Drosophila melanogaster: one gene and its partners. The protein of the gene in region 1 interacts with the protein of each later gene in a pairwise test. Each region holds a gene or a part of one and is shown on either strand. Other genes may lie near its edges.

What was found. The genes of interacting proteins can lie anywhere in the genome.
Region 2: the proteins of Ccdc85 (region 1) and noi interact in a two-hybrid assay, tested with the Drosophila melanogaster proteins (one large-scale study listed by BioGRID).
Region 3: the proteins of Ccdc85 (region 1) and CG43691 interact in a two-hybrid assay, tested with the Drosophila melanogaster proteins (one large-scale study listed by BioGRID).

The regions. Positions count from the first base shown.
Region 1 is NT_033779.5:2,997,650-3,002,516, reverse strand, and holds the start of Ccdc85 (Ccdc85), read right to left. Parts: upstream 3,232-4,867; 5' UTR 2,516-3,231; intron 1-2,515. Other genes in the region: CG3558 (uncharacterized protein), read right to left, coding at 4,269-4,726.
Region 2 is NT_033777.3:5,589,101-5,593,243, forward strand, and holds noi (noisette), read right to left. Parts: upstream 2,360-4,143; 5' UTR 2,233-2,359; coding exon 721-2,232; 3' UTR 501-720; downstream 1-500. Other genes in the region: PolZ2 (DNA polymerase zeta subunit 2), read left to right, coding at 1-439; Vha26 (vacuolar H[+]-ATPase 26kD subunit), read left to right, coding at 2,906-2,938, 3,468-3,680, 3,759-4,085. UniProt on the Drosophila melanogaster protein: Probable subunit of a splicing factor complex required for 'A' complex assembly formed by the stable binding of U2 snRNP to the branchpoint sequence (BPS) in pre-mRNA. Involved in male fertility.
Region 3 is NT_033778.4:13,388,995-13,394,972, forward strand, and holds CG43691 (uncharacterized protein), read right to left. Parts: upstream 4,368-5,978; 5' UTR 4,225-4,367; coding exon 1,531-4,224; intron 1,456-1,530; coding exon 859-1,455; 3' UTR 501-858; downstream 1-500. Other genes in the region: CG4744 (uncharacterized protein), read right to left, coding at 5,749-5,978.

The DNA.
Region 1 (4,867 bases):
AATTTAGTGGAGCTGCTAGCTGCTCGAGACGCCCCCTTGTGCTTCCTCGTGGGCCGGAGCCACATGCTCATGACCGTTTGTCATTTCCAGAGGCGCGCCAATTGCCAGAGTGGCCTGCCAAGTATTTCTGCGCACTCTGTGTGAGAAAATGTGGCCAAACGGTTAATAACAGGGGAGTAGGTTGGCCAAAAGGGGGTTTCCTCCAGGCGACCGCAGAAACGGCAGCAAGAGTCAACATGACCGAGCCTAAAAGAAAAGTCACAGTTGCGCTCAAACGAATAGCACCAAAAATGTCACTCAAAGATAATATAAGTCTTATATAGCATATTATATTCTGATCTCTTATTAAATAATCTTGGCGTTTATATAATTTTTGGGATATATGTATGATATACGATTTTGTGAGACGTGTTTATCCACAGATCGCAAAGCGAAGCATTTAAACTAACCTACTTCTAGCATTTCCACCGCCACTATAAGCATGCAAGTATGTGACCATGTGGAGGAGATTCCAGCTATGGCTGCCGGGACAGGAAACTTAAACTAGTTCTAGTTCGAGTAGCTGGCTTCTAGCCGTTCCACAAACTGGGACACTTGTTGCGCCAACTTGGACACTCGATGGCTGGATGACTTGGCTTGGTCTGCCCTGGCTTGGCTCGCAAGCAATCAAACCTGCAGCCCCAAGATGACAAACAGACGAGGCTTCCCACGCATCAGTCACTCCCATGCCGCCCCTGCCACTCCCACGCATCCGATGGCCGAGTCCCGAAGGCCCGGAAAAGAGAAGCCAGGCTAAATTGTCTTAATGGACCATGAAGAGGAGCCCGCGGAGACGTAGAGATCCAAAAGATCATTATACTCCAAAGAGATTCTGCAGATGGCGGCAGGCGCGCGTAAATCTCGAAACCGCCCAATTAAACAGAAAGATATACGTATATGGATGGGTGCTTATAGGAATATAAAGAGCAGGGCGACACACAAAACAAAATCACCGGCGAGGAGGACAGACAACGAAAGAGTGAACGGAGGACCGGCGGCGATGTTGGCGTGGATAAGCCCAAAAGAAAGTTTTCTTTCATTGACAAAAATTTCTTACTCGACTGCGCTGTCTTTTATTTGCCGCCGCGTACAACGAACTTGGCCTCAGTTGCCCACGGGCGCGGATCTTAACCCATTAAGATGCCGGGCCAAGTCAGGAGGAGATTCTTGTGGATACTTTAGAAAAGCCTCATGACCGCAAAAAGATTCCAACTCGGATGAAGGCTTAAAGAAATGAGTAATATTAAACATTCAACTTAGACCCCTAAGGAAACATACTTTTTGTCCGAGAAGTAATAGTGTTAATAATTGTATTAATATTAATTACTATTTACATTTTGCCAATTCAAACGATGCCTGACTGTTGCATTGTTTGTGGTATGTGGCCAAGCAGTTTTCCCAACTACACCATCCCGCCTTTCCATTTAACCCATGGACAATGCATTTGCATTTCTTGGCCGATTTCTCCCTTTCGCGTTAATGGGTTAATGCTGCTGCTGCTGTTGCCTGGCATTAGTTACAGTTTTCCGATACACGAAATTGACTTTACATATTTCAGGCAGCGGGCGATGTAACAGGTTGTTCGGCGCCATCTCTTTCGCTCTTGCGGGCATTTCGTTTCGAAACGGTGGCGTCGCTGCTTTTACCTGTTGCATGCGGCGTGGTTGTTGCTGTTGCTATTGCAACTGCTGCAGCAACAACAAAAGCAACGGCGATGCTGCAGCGTGGTCGGTTTTCGCTGCTGGTTTTGTTTGATCTTGTGTCTTATTGTTGCGCGTTGTCGTGTATCTTTCTGCCTGTTATTTGTTGCTTTCCTCGGATGCGATACTATCGCCATCGCTCCTGCTGCCTCTCCTTCTCACTCACACCAGCAAGCAACTGTTGAATTTATTGGCGCATATAAATGCCTCAAAATTGATGTTATTGTCGTCCGATATTCCCTTTCTTGCCCCCTTGCCGCCTCGCTGGCTCGTTCCTTTGTTTTTGTCCTGCTTGTTTTGAAAATTGATTTTTACTCGGACTTTTATGGCCGTAGTGGCCGAGCGATAAGTGGAGGAAAAACCCGCCTTCGTTTGCGCACCGTGGAGGGAAAAGACAAAAGACCAGAGACAAAAGAAGAACAAATGGGCAAGGTGGGCGTAGCGCTGACAAAGTGGGCGTTCCCGAGGAGAATAGAGCAATTTTCTGGATCGAAGGGAAAAGAGGGGGCAATGAGTTAATTTTCCGTGGGCCGAGGCCCATGGATTTTTAGTCGACTGACGTGGGCTTGGTACACGTAAAAAAGTATTGATTCAATGTTTTTTCAATAGCTGAAGAGCCTGAATTGAACTTTTTGTGAGTGAGTTATCATGTATGTTATTCAAATAGTTCCTTGCACTGTACATTAATTGTGTGGAGAAACGTGGGCAGGGAAAATGGCAACTTAGGCCAAGGCAACTGCAGTTGCTGCAATTGCCAATCTAACAGCAAAACTCACCTTTTATTTTTTTTTATTCCAATCCGATCGCGCGCTCTCTCTATGTTTCTCTATCTATCTCTGTTTCTCGCTCCTTCTCTCCTTTCAAAACAAATCACAAATATTTGCGCATGCGCGACTGCGCATTCCAGGGATACAGATACACACAGACACACACAATACACTGGCACACAGGGGCACTCGATTCCGCCGTTTGTTTTGCGGCTAATTGTTTATACAGCGTAGATTATTCTTCGCACTGGATGTATTTGTTCATCCGGCTATTTTCGTTTGTTTTTGCTCCGCACGAGCAAATTTGCAGCGCACACGCAGCCGAGAATTCGCGCAATCGCTTTTTCCTGTATGTATCTTTTATTGGCCACAGTTCGCGAGTTTTCATGCCCTTTTCGAGAGCCAAAAAGACGCGTCGCCTGCTGCGTTTCGCGAACTATTTTCGGTTGGCTAGAATCCCGTAAAGGCGGTTTCAGCCGGTGTTCCCCTTGCACTTAACAAACACTCAAGCGGCACTCGCAACTAAAGAACAAAAAGTTTGCGAAAATGCGGGCGGTGTGATTAGTCGCCAACACGAATGTATCGAGTGCAGGGCGGGGAAAAGTATAACATAATTTATGCGATATTTAACAATAAAATAAACACAACGCAATAATTCAGCCGGCGATGCGCACTTTTACGTTTTTTGAACGGCAAACGATCGCAACGATCGCAGTTTTGTGACTGAAAGCGACCGATTTCTAGAGATGCGTTCAACCATCCACAGTGCTGTCGACTATCGATTGTTTGTGTTCGACTAAGATATCGGAGTGGAATGTGTTTGGTTTAAAGTGTGGGCATAAATCGATCAATCGATCAACTTCTATTTTAGTACATATTCAAATTCAAACTCTTCCGTTAACGATCTAAACGGAAATTTATCTTGCCTGCTTCTTTTAATAAGTATAATCTTGAATATATTGGCTTGAAGTTTTCATAAGAAACACTTTTATTTAAAAACATTTTGGCTAAATTTCAGCGCCTAAATTATCATCGTATTTCGCCGCCACACCCCAAAGGCAGTTCTCCCAATGGCCCTCAAACCTAAACTGTGTTTCCGATGCAGGCAGCTCCTCCAGCTTCAGCTGACTTGCGCAGAATGAACTGTGCGTTTACGTGTCGCACCAGAAGAAGGTATACCCAGTGAGTCCCTTTGACTCCTCTGGTGGTTGCCATGTTATAAAATTGGCTCTCACGTTAAACCTGAAATCCTAAGCTAATAATAAGAATAACTAAATCTTCTTGGCTGTGCATTTACTTGGACCAATTTAATACTTTCAAGTTGGCTTTACATAACTTGTGTAATTTGATCTTGCATACATAAAAGCATAAAATATATTGCAAAAATACATATGTATACATGGTATGTGTGTTATATAATTCTCTCTATAAACGTTGTAAATTTTGCGTACGGCTGGTAATTAGAATATTTGTTTACATCTGAACACTTAAGATCCACCGTCCCGATTCACTTAAAACATTTAACCTAAATCTATTTGTTTAACGCGTTGAGTGTTTCTCTTTTTTTTTTTTAGTTGAGTCCGTGTGCATTAACTTGTAAATCTGTTCAAAACTGCATTGTTCGTTAAAAGTTGTTTTTTAAAATATAAATATCGAAAATTTAACAGGTAAAAAGAATAATTTCGTAAGAGTAGCTGGTTAAAACAAACAAGGGCTAACAAATCCGTAAAATATGTATACACAAGCTTTCCGTTCCAAGCGATCATAAAGACCCCTGCTCCGTGACCAGCACAACGCTCTGCTCCTGCGCAATGGCAGCCAGCTCCTTAAGCCACTCGTCCATGAGCACAGCACATAGGGCCAGATCGCGTGATCGCTCGGTGCCACTTGTGCTGGCGATGATTCCCATGGAGGCCACCGAGTCCAGGGACGCCGGCTCCGAGTTGAAACCACCCGTCGACGGGCCGCCATCCAGACCGTGCAGAGTGCTCGCCGAGTGGGTGGTTGTGTTCGACTGGGCGGAGAGCGTTAGGGTGGAACCTGCGATGCTGCTGTTGCTTCCCGATGCCGCTGTTGACGTCGCGTTGGCTCCTGTGCGTGATGCTCCCGCTGGGGGCTGCGTACTCAAGCTGGTCTCGCATGTGCCTGCGGACGTCTGAGCTTGTGATATGCCTCTTCCATCGTTGCTGGCATTATTCCCCACCAGATTCGAGGCAGCTCCTAAAAACGTATGCGAGGATTAGCAACAGCACATGATATTGACATTTTGGGTTAATTAAAAAACAACAATAACCACATGTATATATGGGATTCCACAAATGTTTTCTATATTCTACTATTAACTATTTTTTTAGTGGAAAG
Region 2 (4,143 bases), on another chromosome or scaffold:
CTACCTGGCCGGCGTCCTAAAATCCGCACAAGAACTTCTTCGCCGCCGGGAGCTGCAGTGCCTGGAGCTAATAGTGTATCAGAAGGAGAATGAGAAGTTGGAGAGCTATAAAATGCAACTAGAAACCCAGAGGAGTGGCCTACCGGCAGAGGATCATTTGATGGAGTTCGAGCAGAACATGCGCTCTGTCATCTACAAAATCTCTCAGCGCTTAAACCAGGCGCCTAAACTGCCCGCCGGAAGTTGTCAGTTTAAGGTGCATCTGCACACTACCCAGGAGGCATTCATCCGCTTCAGCCATGACTCCCAGTACCAGGAGTTTCCCTGGCTTCAGACCCAAAAAACTGAATCCCAAGCGACAGGGCGAACCGTTTACCTCCTTCCTTTGGCTAGGGTAGATGATTTGGGACTGAAAATGGATGTCCTCATCGTTAATTAATGTTATATTCCTAAAACTGTTATCCATTTTATCGAAAACTACACGACGTTGGGTTTATTTTAAACTACAATTGATTCTAATCATGAATCGTTGGCTGATCCATGGTCTTTCTTTAATGAATAAAAGGACGCCCAATGGTTTTATGGCTTAACATTAGATTCCTTAAATAAAACCAATTTTAGTGTCATTCCGTTTTGAATTATAAAGACTGTTGAGGTTTTAGAGGAAGCGTCATATAGAATTGACCGGTACTCAAGCGACCATAATCGTAGGCTTGTCCTCTAAAGTAGACCCTGGCGTTTTAGATCCTCGAACGTCTTTCGGTTGACAACGTTTCCCAGCGAGTCCTCGAACTCTTCCTCCTGATCGGCTACCCAGCGCTCGCTCTGCTTTTGCGACTTGAGTTTTTCCCACAACGTGATTGCGTCCTCGATCTGGGTGACATTGGCGAAATGGGCGGTGTTCGGAATGCCGAGGCATCGCATGCCGTGCGCATGCCGCCACTCGGCGAAGTGTCGTTGAAAAGCCTTAGGACCCTTGTAGGTGAAGTTTCCACATATCTCGCAATTATAGCTAATATTCAGGCCATGCAGTTTATACAACCAGTAGGGGATAGGTTTACCGTCCCATCCGAGCGGCAAGTTCTTGGGATTGTACGGAACGTCGTCCGCGTCGGGATCATCTTCGTTGTCCGACTCGCTGGCCTCCACATCGCTATCGTCCCGCTCGCCACCAGTCCGAGCCTGTTTTCTCTGCACATTCTCCTTGGTAGCCGCTCTCTGCTCAGACAACAGATCCGCGTATTTGTAGAGCAGAGCCTCTAGCTGGGCAATCTCCTTGTGGCGTTCGTGCTCCCGTGACTGGGCACTAGCAGTCTTTGCGCTGGGCTTCTTGGCCATCAGTGCGGGATCCAAGGTGCTTTTACCTTTTGTAGAGAATAAACGCTGTGCTCGCTCCTCCAGGGTGCCGCCGCACTTAAGACCCAGAGCCACCAAAGCCGACTTTAGACGATCCAGTCCTAGCGAGGCCAGCTCCTCCCAGCTGGAGAAGGCGGATAGATCAAGGTGGGCGCCGGTGTTGGCCAACGCCGACTCAGTTTCCTTAATCGAAAAACCCGGAAATGTGCCCATCAGCCACTGGCGCTGGAAGTCAAGTTCCACCTTTAGCAGTTCGCCCTCCAGGTCGAGCAAGGGCTGGATTCGGAGGATGAAGTGGTGCAGGTAGTCGTTGAGGGTCTCTATGTATATGCGGTACTCGCGGTTCTTGCGCTCTCTCGGAATATCGAAGACGTGGTCAAAGGACATAAGGTAAGTGATATAGTCCAGTTTCTCCACCGACCGCAAGTTGAGGTACAGCTCGTAGCACTCGTTGAGGTCCAGATAGCGACCGCCGCCCTCCTCGTCAGTGAACTCCACTAGGGCACTCATGTCGTCCGGATTGTTGTACACCCGAATCATCTCGTCGAACTCGACGGACAGCGGCACGCTGACCTCCGCCGGATGGGACTTGTAGAACTGCTTGATTTGCTTGAGGCGGGCGTAGAACTCATTGAACTCGTTGGGCCCCGAAAGAGCGGCAATCTCCGCCTTTCGTTCATTGTCCTTGTCCTCGTAGAGATCGCGTAGCTGGGACGTAGAGTTGTGATGCAGTTCCATGAGGTATTTAAGCCGGTGCTCCGAATGGATGCGCTCCTTTTCGCCCGGCTTTTTGGTCGCATGCTCGTCCACCATCAGTTTGACCAGGCGCTCGCGCTCCTCGTGTAGGCGCCGCTGTTGCTCCAGGAGCGTCTCCATGGCTCTTGAATGCGAGGATTTAATGCGGGGAAATATCAAATGGAGGCCTTTCACTTAGCGAAATCCCGAAGAAAACACAACTTTTCGTCAGCGTGTGTACATTAAAAAATACACTTACAATAAAGCAGGGATGGCTTATATTGTCACATCATATTATTGTCAGGTTATTATACTCCGATCACACTGGCAATTAATGTGGATTTCGGGAATGCAGATGTATCAAATTAACGCTCGATTATTCGAGTAATATAGTAATGATATTTAAAGAGCCAAATTGATTTTTCATTATCATATATAGATTATATCGCATGATTTTTCTACCTAGTCGATTAAAGTGAAGCCTCTGTTACAAATGCGATAACAATTACATCGTCTATCGGTGGTCTGACAGCGACAACAAATACACATTTTTACCCTCGCAATCGCAGGGTCACACTTTCGTGAAATCATATGATCGATTTGCAGTGAAAATTTTCAGACGTTGGGCAGAAGGCAAAAGTAACTTATCGTTTTCCACTTTCCTCGTGTTGGGCCGCCGTTTCCAACTCAGTTCGGCTGTGAATGTATTAGCTTAATTAAATTTCAATTATTTCCAGGCACGGTTGTTGTACGTGGGCTTCTTTAAAACACTTGAATTTCCTTTCGGTTTGTGCAGTGAAAAAAATCAGTCAAAATGGCACTGAGCGATGCTGATGTACAAAAGCAGGTAATTGAAAACTTGGATTGGGAACGGGCAGGCGATCAAGGTCGTAGGGAAACAAGCAAAACGAGAGGCTTCGTTTGCCTTTTTGCCTTTGCAATTTGCCTTTGCAATAAAGATGGCGAAGTCATGGGATCTCCCAGGTCATGTGAACTTTTCACCGCCAGTAGTCCAATTAGACTGACATCCTTCCAAATCGGCCCGGTCATTTGGGAGTTGCCGGAGTTTTGACATATTTGTTGGCTAATGAAGACACATCAATTTATTTGTCCAGATAGTTTGCGTAAAAAGTGAGTAAAAATTCGTGCTGGTCATGTGACACGGCCCCCGCATTGGAGCAATGTGTTGGAGCGAGACGACTAGCCCTGCACCCCACACTCGTACTCTCTGTCACACGACCAGCGGACCCCTTACGTTATCAAAACTTTAACGAAAATAAATAGAGGCTAGGGTCTTGGACGTCTCCCTTTTCCATTTATCATGTCCAGTTATCATGTGACACACAGGCAACTACTAAACAGGACGACTGTTTCAGATCAAGCACATGATGGCGTTCATTGAGCAGGAGGCCAATGAGAAAGCCGAGGAGATCGATGCCAAGGCCGAGGAGGAGTTCAACATTGAGAAGGGACGCCTGGTCCAGCAGCAGCGTCTCAAGATCATGGAATACTACGAGAAGAAGGAGAAGCAAGTTGAGCTGCAGAAGAAGATTCAGTCCTCCAACATGCTCAACCAGGCTCGTCTGAAGGTGCGTGTCGTCCAGTTGGTGGCCCTAACATATACCGGAAAACACCTTATTTTTAATCATTCGTAATGTACCCTGTAGGTGCTGAAAGTGCGCGAGGACCATGTGAGCAGCGTGCTGGATGATGCCCGCAAGCGTCTCGGCGAGGTCACCAAGAATCAGTCCGAGTACGAGACTGTGCTGACCAAGCTCATCGTCCAGGGCCTGTTCCAGATCATGGAGCCCAAGGTGATCCTGCGCTGCCGCGAGGTGGACGTCCCCCTGGTACGTAACGTCCTGCCTGCCGCTGTGGAGCAATACAAGGCCCAGATCAATCAGAACGTCGAGCTGTTCATCGACGAGAAAGACTTCCTCTCTGCTGATACCTGCGGTGGTGTTGAGCTGCTGGCCCTCAACGGACGCATCAAGGTGAGTACTGTCCTTTCGGTGGAGAGAGAGCAATCCCAACTGATCTAACAAACCACTT
Region 3 (5,978 bases), on another chromosome or scaffold:
ATATAAAATGAAAAAAGAAAAATAAGCAGATTTGTAAGAGCAAGAACTAGATTAACAAATATTAGGATTTCCAAATGCAGTCTTACAAGCTTTATAAATCAGTAAGTAATATCCACTGATCTGGTATAAAAATACATAAAATGTCCTAAATTAAATGAGAATATCCTTACTGAAGAACCAATAACATTGTAAGCACAGTTCCATTTTAATTGCAACAATTTTGAAATATAGGATCTGTTACTCGGAAAATTCCTTGAGAGCCTGCCTGATCTTCGGCCAATCGGCGGCTGTGTAGTTAAGCGTTTTCATTTATGAAAATGTCTGAAACATGTTTCGCTTGCGCAAACAGAATGCGAGTGCGAGTATGCAATAAAATTCCATTACAGCAATGGCTCGACTTAAAAACTTGGCCGAAAAAAAAAGGAGGCAAGATGAAATTTCGTTGCATGAGCGAGAAGTCGTGGCAGGAGCATCGGGGGGAGCAGTGGGTGGAGCAGCAAGGGGATAAGGAACACGACCAGGAGAAGGAGCATCCTGCAAGTGTATTAAAAGCCCGCAGACATTTTCTCTCTACGTGAGTGCATCGCATGAGCTTGGCCCTGTTTGTTGGTGTGCAATGTGTGTGTGTGTGTGTGTGCAAAAGTCCTTGCATATTTTATGAAACTTGGCAAAGCATTTAACAACACAGGCACACCCACAGACAGAGGCAAACTCATTACTTGAATTTATTTAGCACTTAAACCAAATGTTTCATTCGCCTCAGCCGGCTGATTTGGTGGTGCTCATATCCGTGCATATCCGGAGTTTAGTTACCACTTTGGTGGCTTCAAAAGTACTCAGCACTCCTTGTCGCCCCTGCTAAGGATCAAAACTTCTGGTATTCTTAAGGATCCCGCGTGGGCAGCAAAATGCCGGGCACTCGGGAGCAGTAGGTACGGTGCCCTTAATCCGCTTTAGAAGCTTGGTCTTCCGCTCATTCATGGGTAACTGTGAGCAAAGATGCCCCTTTTTATGGACATAGCCACAGCGTGTGCAAAGGTCCTCGAGCGTGTTGATTAGCAGCTTGTTCTTGGCACAGGCTTCTATGGATCCGCTGGACAAGATCTCGCAGCTGGACGAGGACGACATGGAGAACGGGGTAGTGGGCGCGGGCACAGGCACCTTTACTCCACACCGAGGACACTTGTCCAGGATCATCGAATCACCAATTTTCTCAACTTGGCCTTCGCATGCCAAACACTCTGCGGAACAGGAGATCTTCTGCAGGCGACAAGTTTTTCGGGGTGAGTAGTAAAGTTCCTCGATGGGCCTAAGATCTTTGCTCCTCTTCCTTGCCGTAAAAGTGGTGGAACGGAATTTAGGACGCCTAAATTGTGCAGAGGTATACAATTCTTCGACTTTTCCCTTCATCTTCTTGTGGACCAACTGCTCCACTCGCGATTTGCGATCCAAAGCCTGAAAGAAAGAATAAAAATGTATTTCGAAGATGTTATTTTATAACTTTTTGGCGGTTGAGTATAGTTAACCCACCTGAAACATCAGCTGGTGCTGGTTCATCATGCTCCTAATGTTGTGTAGCGAGTAGCGCCACTCGATGTCCCGCACATCCTGCTCCTCGTTGGCCGCCAGATCCAAGCTGTTGTTGAAGCTTATAGTTGATCCAAAGGTGCTGCTAAAGCGTCTTCTCTTACGCTCCTCGCGCTCCAATCGTTCTGCATTGAGCTCCTGCTCGAGGAGTTTATTGTACATTCCGCCGTTCATCTTGATTTCCTGCGACTGGCGTGAGCTGTGAGATGGGTCAATTTTGCTCGTCCTTATTCCCCGCATGCCGAAGGGAATGAGCCGTGTGCTGACCCGCTTCCTAGACCACCAGTTTCGCTCCATAAACTTTTCCACCTCTTTCTTCTGTTTGGCTTTCATAGATTCGGTTTCCAAAACGTTAAGCATATTGTCCCGCGGCGGTTCCATTCGTGCATAGTTCTTCTCGGTCACTATTTCGTTAAGATACTCCAAGTACTTTTTGGCCAGACTTTCCTTAATTTGCGTTAACGTAACTCCTGCATCTGTGAGTTCGTTGTAGAGACTCTGAAGATGGGACCACATTTCATGGTTAGCTACTTCCTGCATAAGTCCATTAACATCGGCAATATACTCGATAACTTCGTTTCTTTGTATGACGTCCTTAAGGAGGAACTGCAAGTGTTTGAATTTGGCATCTGAGCGTAGATCTTTCAAATGAAACCGTTCGAATTCGAACTCTTTGACGTAGGGCTTTGGGGCATTTTCTGTTTTGTCGTGGCGATCTCGCACCGGTGCAAGGAGTTTTTCAAGATCATCTGGCAGCGCATCATATTTAAATTTATTTTTGGATGTCGATTTCGAAGATAGATGACCAAAAACTTGGCTTTGGGATTTAGTCGGATAAATACCAACTTGGGTATCGGAAGCCCTTCGTGGAAGATGCCTGTTCGATTGGTTCCCTCTGTGCAGAGCTGATTCGCTGGCTGTAATCCTAGATACACCCATATGCTCGCTGTTTGTAGGAAGGTACATGATATCCTTCTTCAAAGACTGATAGTGACTTTCCTCTTGACCTCTTGGAGGAGCAACGCGGATCTTCTTGGGTATGATGGGTGGCATGCGAATAGATTTACGGGTAAATTTTCGGTTTCGATTGCCCATAACTAATTTATTCAGTGATTCAGTGAGGGACGCAACGCTATCCCTTTTGAATAACACATGAGAACCACTCCTCTCGGCAGATAATTCGGGTCGGTCTTTGATTACGTAAACGCTGCTCGTACTGGAAAGCTTTTTGTGCTTATCCGACTTAGTGGCCACTTTTTCGGATCCGATGAAAACCTCTTTGGACGCAATCGAACTACTCGAACTAGAAGCTTGAAGTTTGTCACGTAGTTTTTTCCTATTTCTTCTCTCAATATCACGCCTCATATATAGGGGTATATCATTATATAATCTTTCGAGTACATTTTCTTGCTTTTCCAAGTCTCTTTTTTCCTTTTCCTGTTGAAAAGTTTCAGCTTCTTTAGTTTTTCCATGACGATTGCCCCTTTTCTTTGCCTTTGTCTCTAAAAGTGCATTTAATTCGTCTTTAATTACCCTATCCACATAGTGCATTTTACGCTTTCGAAGTTTAGGTCTTGTTACCTTGAATTTAATGATTTTCGGATCTGGAACATTTCTGGGAGCTCGTCCGCTTTTCACAATTCTTTTTATTCGTACTTTTGGGTTTAAAGTTGTAATATCGGAGATTTTGTCAAAATCAAATTTGGGGTTTCTTATGGCTTTTCTGTTAATTTTCGGGTTTTTAATAACTATCTTTTTCCAGTTGAAGCTGATTAGTTCCCTTATCAACATTTTCAGTTCCTCTAAAGATGGTTTTAATGGATCATGTTTCTTTGGCTTTCGAATGTCCTTCCGAATTCTTTTCAATTTTTTCCGAATAACAAGTTCATCTAAGCTGATATATAATTTTTTTCTTTTCCACAATTTCTTCTTTGATTTCCTAGTTTTATCATGTGCTGTATCTACTGGCACGTTTCTTCCTCTCATGGCCCTTTGTTTATTGATCATAGCGTTTGTTTGCAACACTTCAGTTTTCCAAAATTTAGCAAAGTCCTCGATTTCGAAATCCTTTTTAACCCTGCCACGGCTTAGCTTTCGTGGTCGCCTTCCCCGAACCTCCGATAAATAGTTTCGAACCTCCAGTGCCTCTGCCTCCCAGATCTTGTCCTGATCCTTGACGTGTTCGTAGTAATCCGGTTTCTTTTGCCACTTCCTAACTGCCTTGAACAGTCGATGGAAGCACTTGTCGACCAAGTTCTTTGGATTGCGGACTTTCTTCAACTGCCTCCTCAAGTGTCGAAGTTTGCGACGCATTCCCACTTTTACATGCTCCTGGTGCCGAATTAGCTGACTTTGTAACCTTAAAGCTTTTGACCAGCTGCGCAGCCAATGCTTGTACATGGAAAGCATACCGCCCACCGCCCTCCGTGTCTGCTCCCTCTTCTTCTGCTCCGCATCCCGCTGCCGGTGATCTATGGAGTTCCTCATCCTGTCGAGCAGATGGTCACGGATCCTTCTCATCACCTGAAGGCGGCGGTGGGCGTGACGCTTTCGCAGACGCAACTCCTTCGCCTTCCGCCGGATCTGCTTCTTCAGCAGCACCATCTGGGTGCTCCGGTGGAGCAGGGGCACTTGCATCGCGTACTAATCGAATTTGATCCCTTATCCTCTGAATTGTGTATACAAAGAATACCAATTAACTAGATTTTTAAACAGTCTTAAATGTCATGAAATGTCATAAAAAATTTAAAAGCTAACTCTATTAAAATTTGAACTTACTCATTGGCAAATATGTTATTATAAATTGAATTCAAATTGATTTTATTTTAAAATTCTTGTTTTATTATATATAAATTCATAAATATATTTAATTAAAATTGTCTTCAAAATAAACCCTTAAAGAGTTTGCAAATCACCGGCAAGTAGTTTCAAGGGGATGCACAATCTCTTATCAGACGGTGTGAACCACCTGGTCATTCGGGGATCCCAGTGCGAAACATTGCTCAGCTTACAGATAAGGCATCACAAATCTTCCATCTATAAATTGGTATTCATTGTCGGTTTCGATGGGAAGCCCCACTCAGAGATAGATTGCTATATAATTCACGGTGACCAGATCCCAGCATCGTCAGTCAACAGTCAGCCGCTTAGTCAAGTAGATCGAAAATCAAGAGATTAATACAGCAAGATGAGCAAAATTGTTCTCCTAATTGTGGTCATCGTTGGCGTACTTGGCTCCCTTGCGGTGGCCTTGCCCCAACGTCCGTATACCCAGCCACTGATCTCCACCACCGACGCCACCCAGAATCTACAGGGCACGTCGCCAGGTGTTGGGTGGATCACTCACATCCAATCCGAGTGGCGGTGCCGATGCCCGATTGGACCTAAGCAAGGCCGTTGGAACTCCCGATCACCATGTTATTGGACAAGTGTTCGCAGCGGGCAACACGCAGACCAAACCGGTATCCACTCCCGTAACCAGCGGCGCCACCCTGGGCTACAACAAGTGAGTCTCTTAAAGGATTACGATCTGAGCAATAGCGAAACTAATCTTATTTTTCATGAGCAGTCATGGACACGGCCTGGAACTGACCAAAACCCATACGCCCGGTGTGCGGGATAGCTTCCAGCAAACGGCCACCGCCAATTTGTTCAACAACGGTGTTCACAATCTGGATGCCAAGGCATTTGCCTCGCAGAATCAGCTTGCCAATGGCTTCAAGTTCGATAGAAATGAAGCTGCACTGGACTACTCCCACATCAAAGGTCATGGAGCTACCCTGACGCACGCCAATATTCCCGGATTGGGTAAGCAATTGGAGCTGGGTGGGCGTGCCAATCTTTGGCAGTCGCAGGATCGCAACACAAGGCTAGATCTGGGCAGCACGGCATCCAAGTGGACAAGTGGACCCTTCAAGGGCCAGACCGATCTGGGTGCCAATCTGGGACTCTCGCACTACTTTGGATAAAACTATATTCTTAAAAATATTTTACAATAACTAAGTGTTATTCAAAATATTTATTGACATAAATTCAAACGAATTTTGTTGCTTATTTCAAATGTGTTAAAAATATATGACTTAACTCAAACAAAGGGAATTTTTAATTGAAAAAAACAACTAATGAATTGAAACAAAAATCTAAAACGTTGATTAAAGCGGTCTAAAGACCCACAAATGCCTTGGCCTGCTGCTCGCCCGCCTCCTTATAAAGCTCCGCCGTCTTTAGCAGTTTTATAAAACGCGGTGAGTACTCGGTGGTTAGACTCTTTTCCAGGACCTCGTCCAGGCTGGTCTGTTTGAGCACCTCCTGCAAACGGGCGTTACGTTGATTGCGCTCTGCGGATTCGGCCATCTTCTGGAGATAAACCAGATCCAGGAGCAATTCATCAC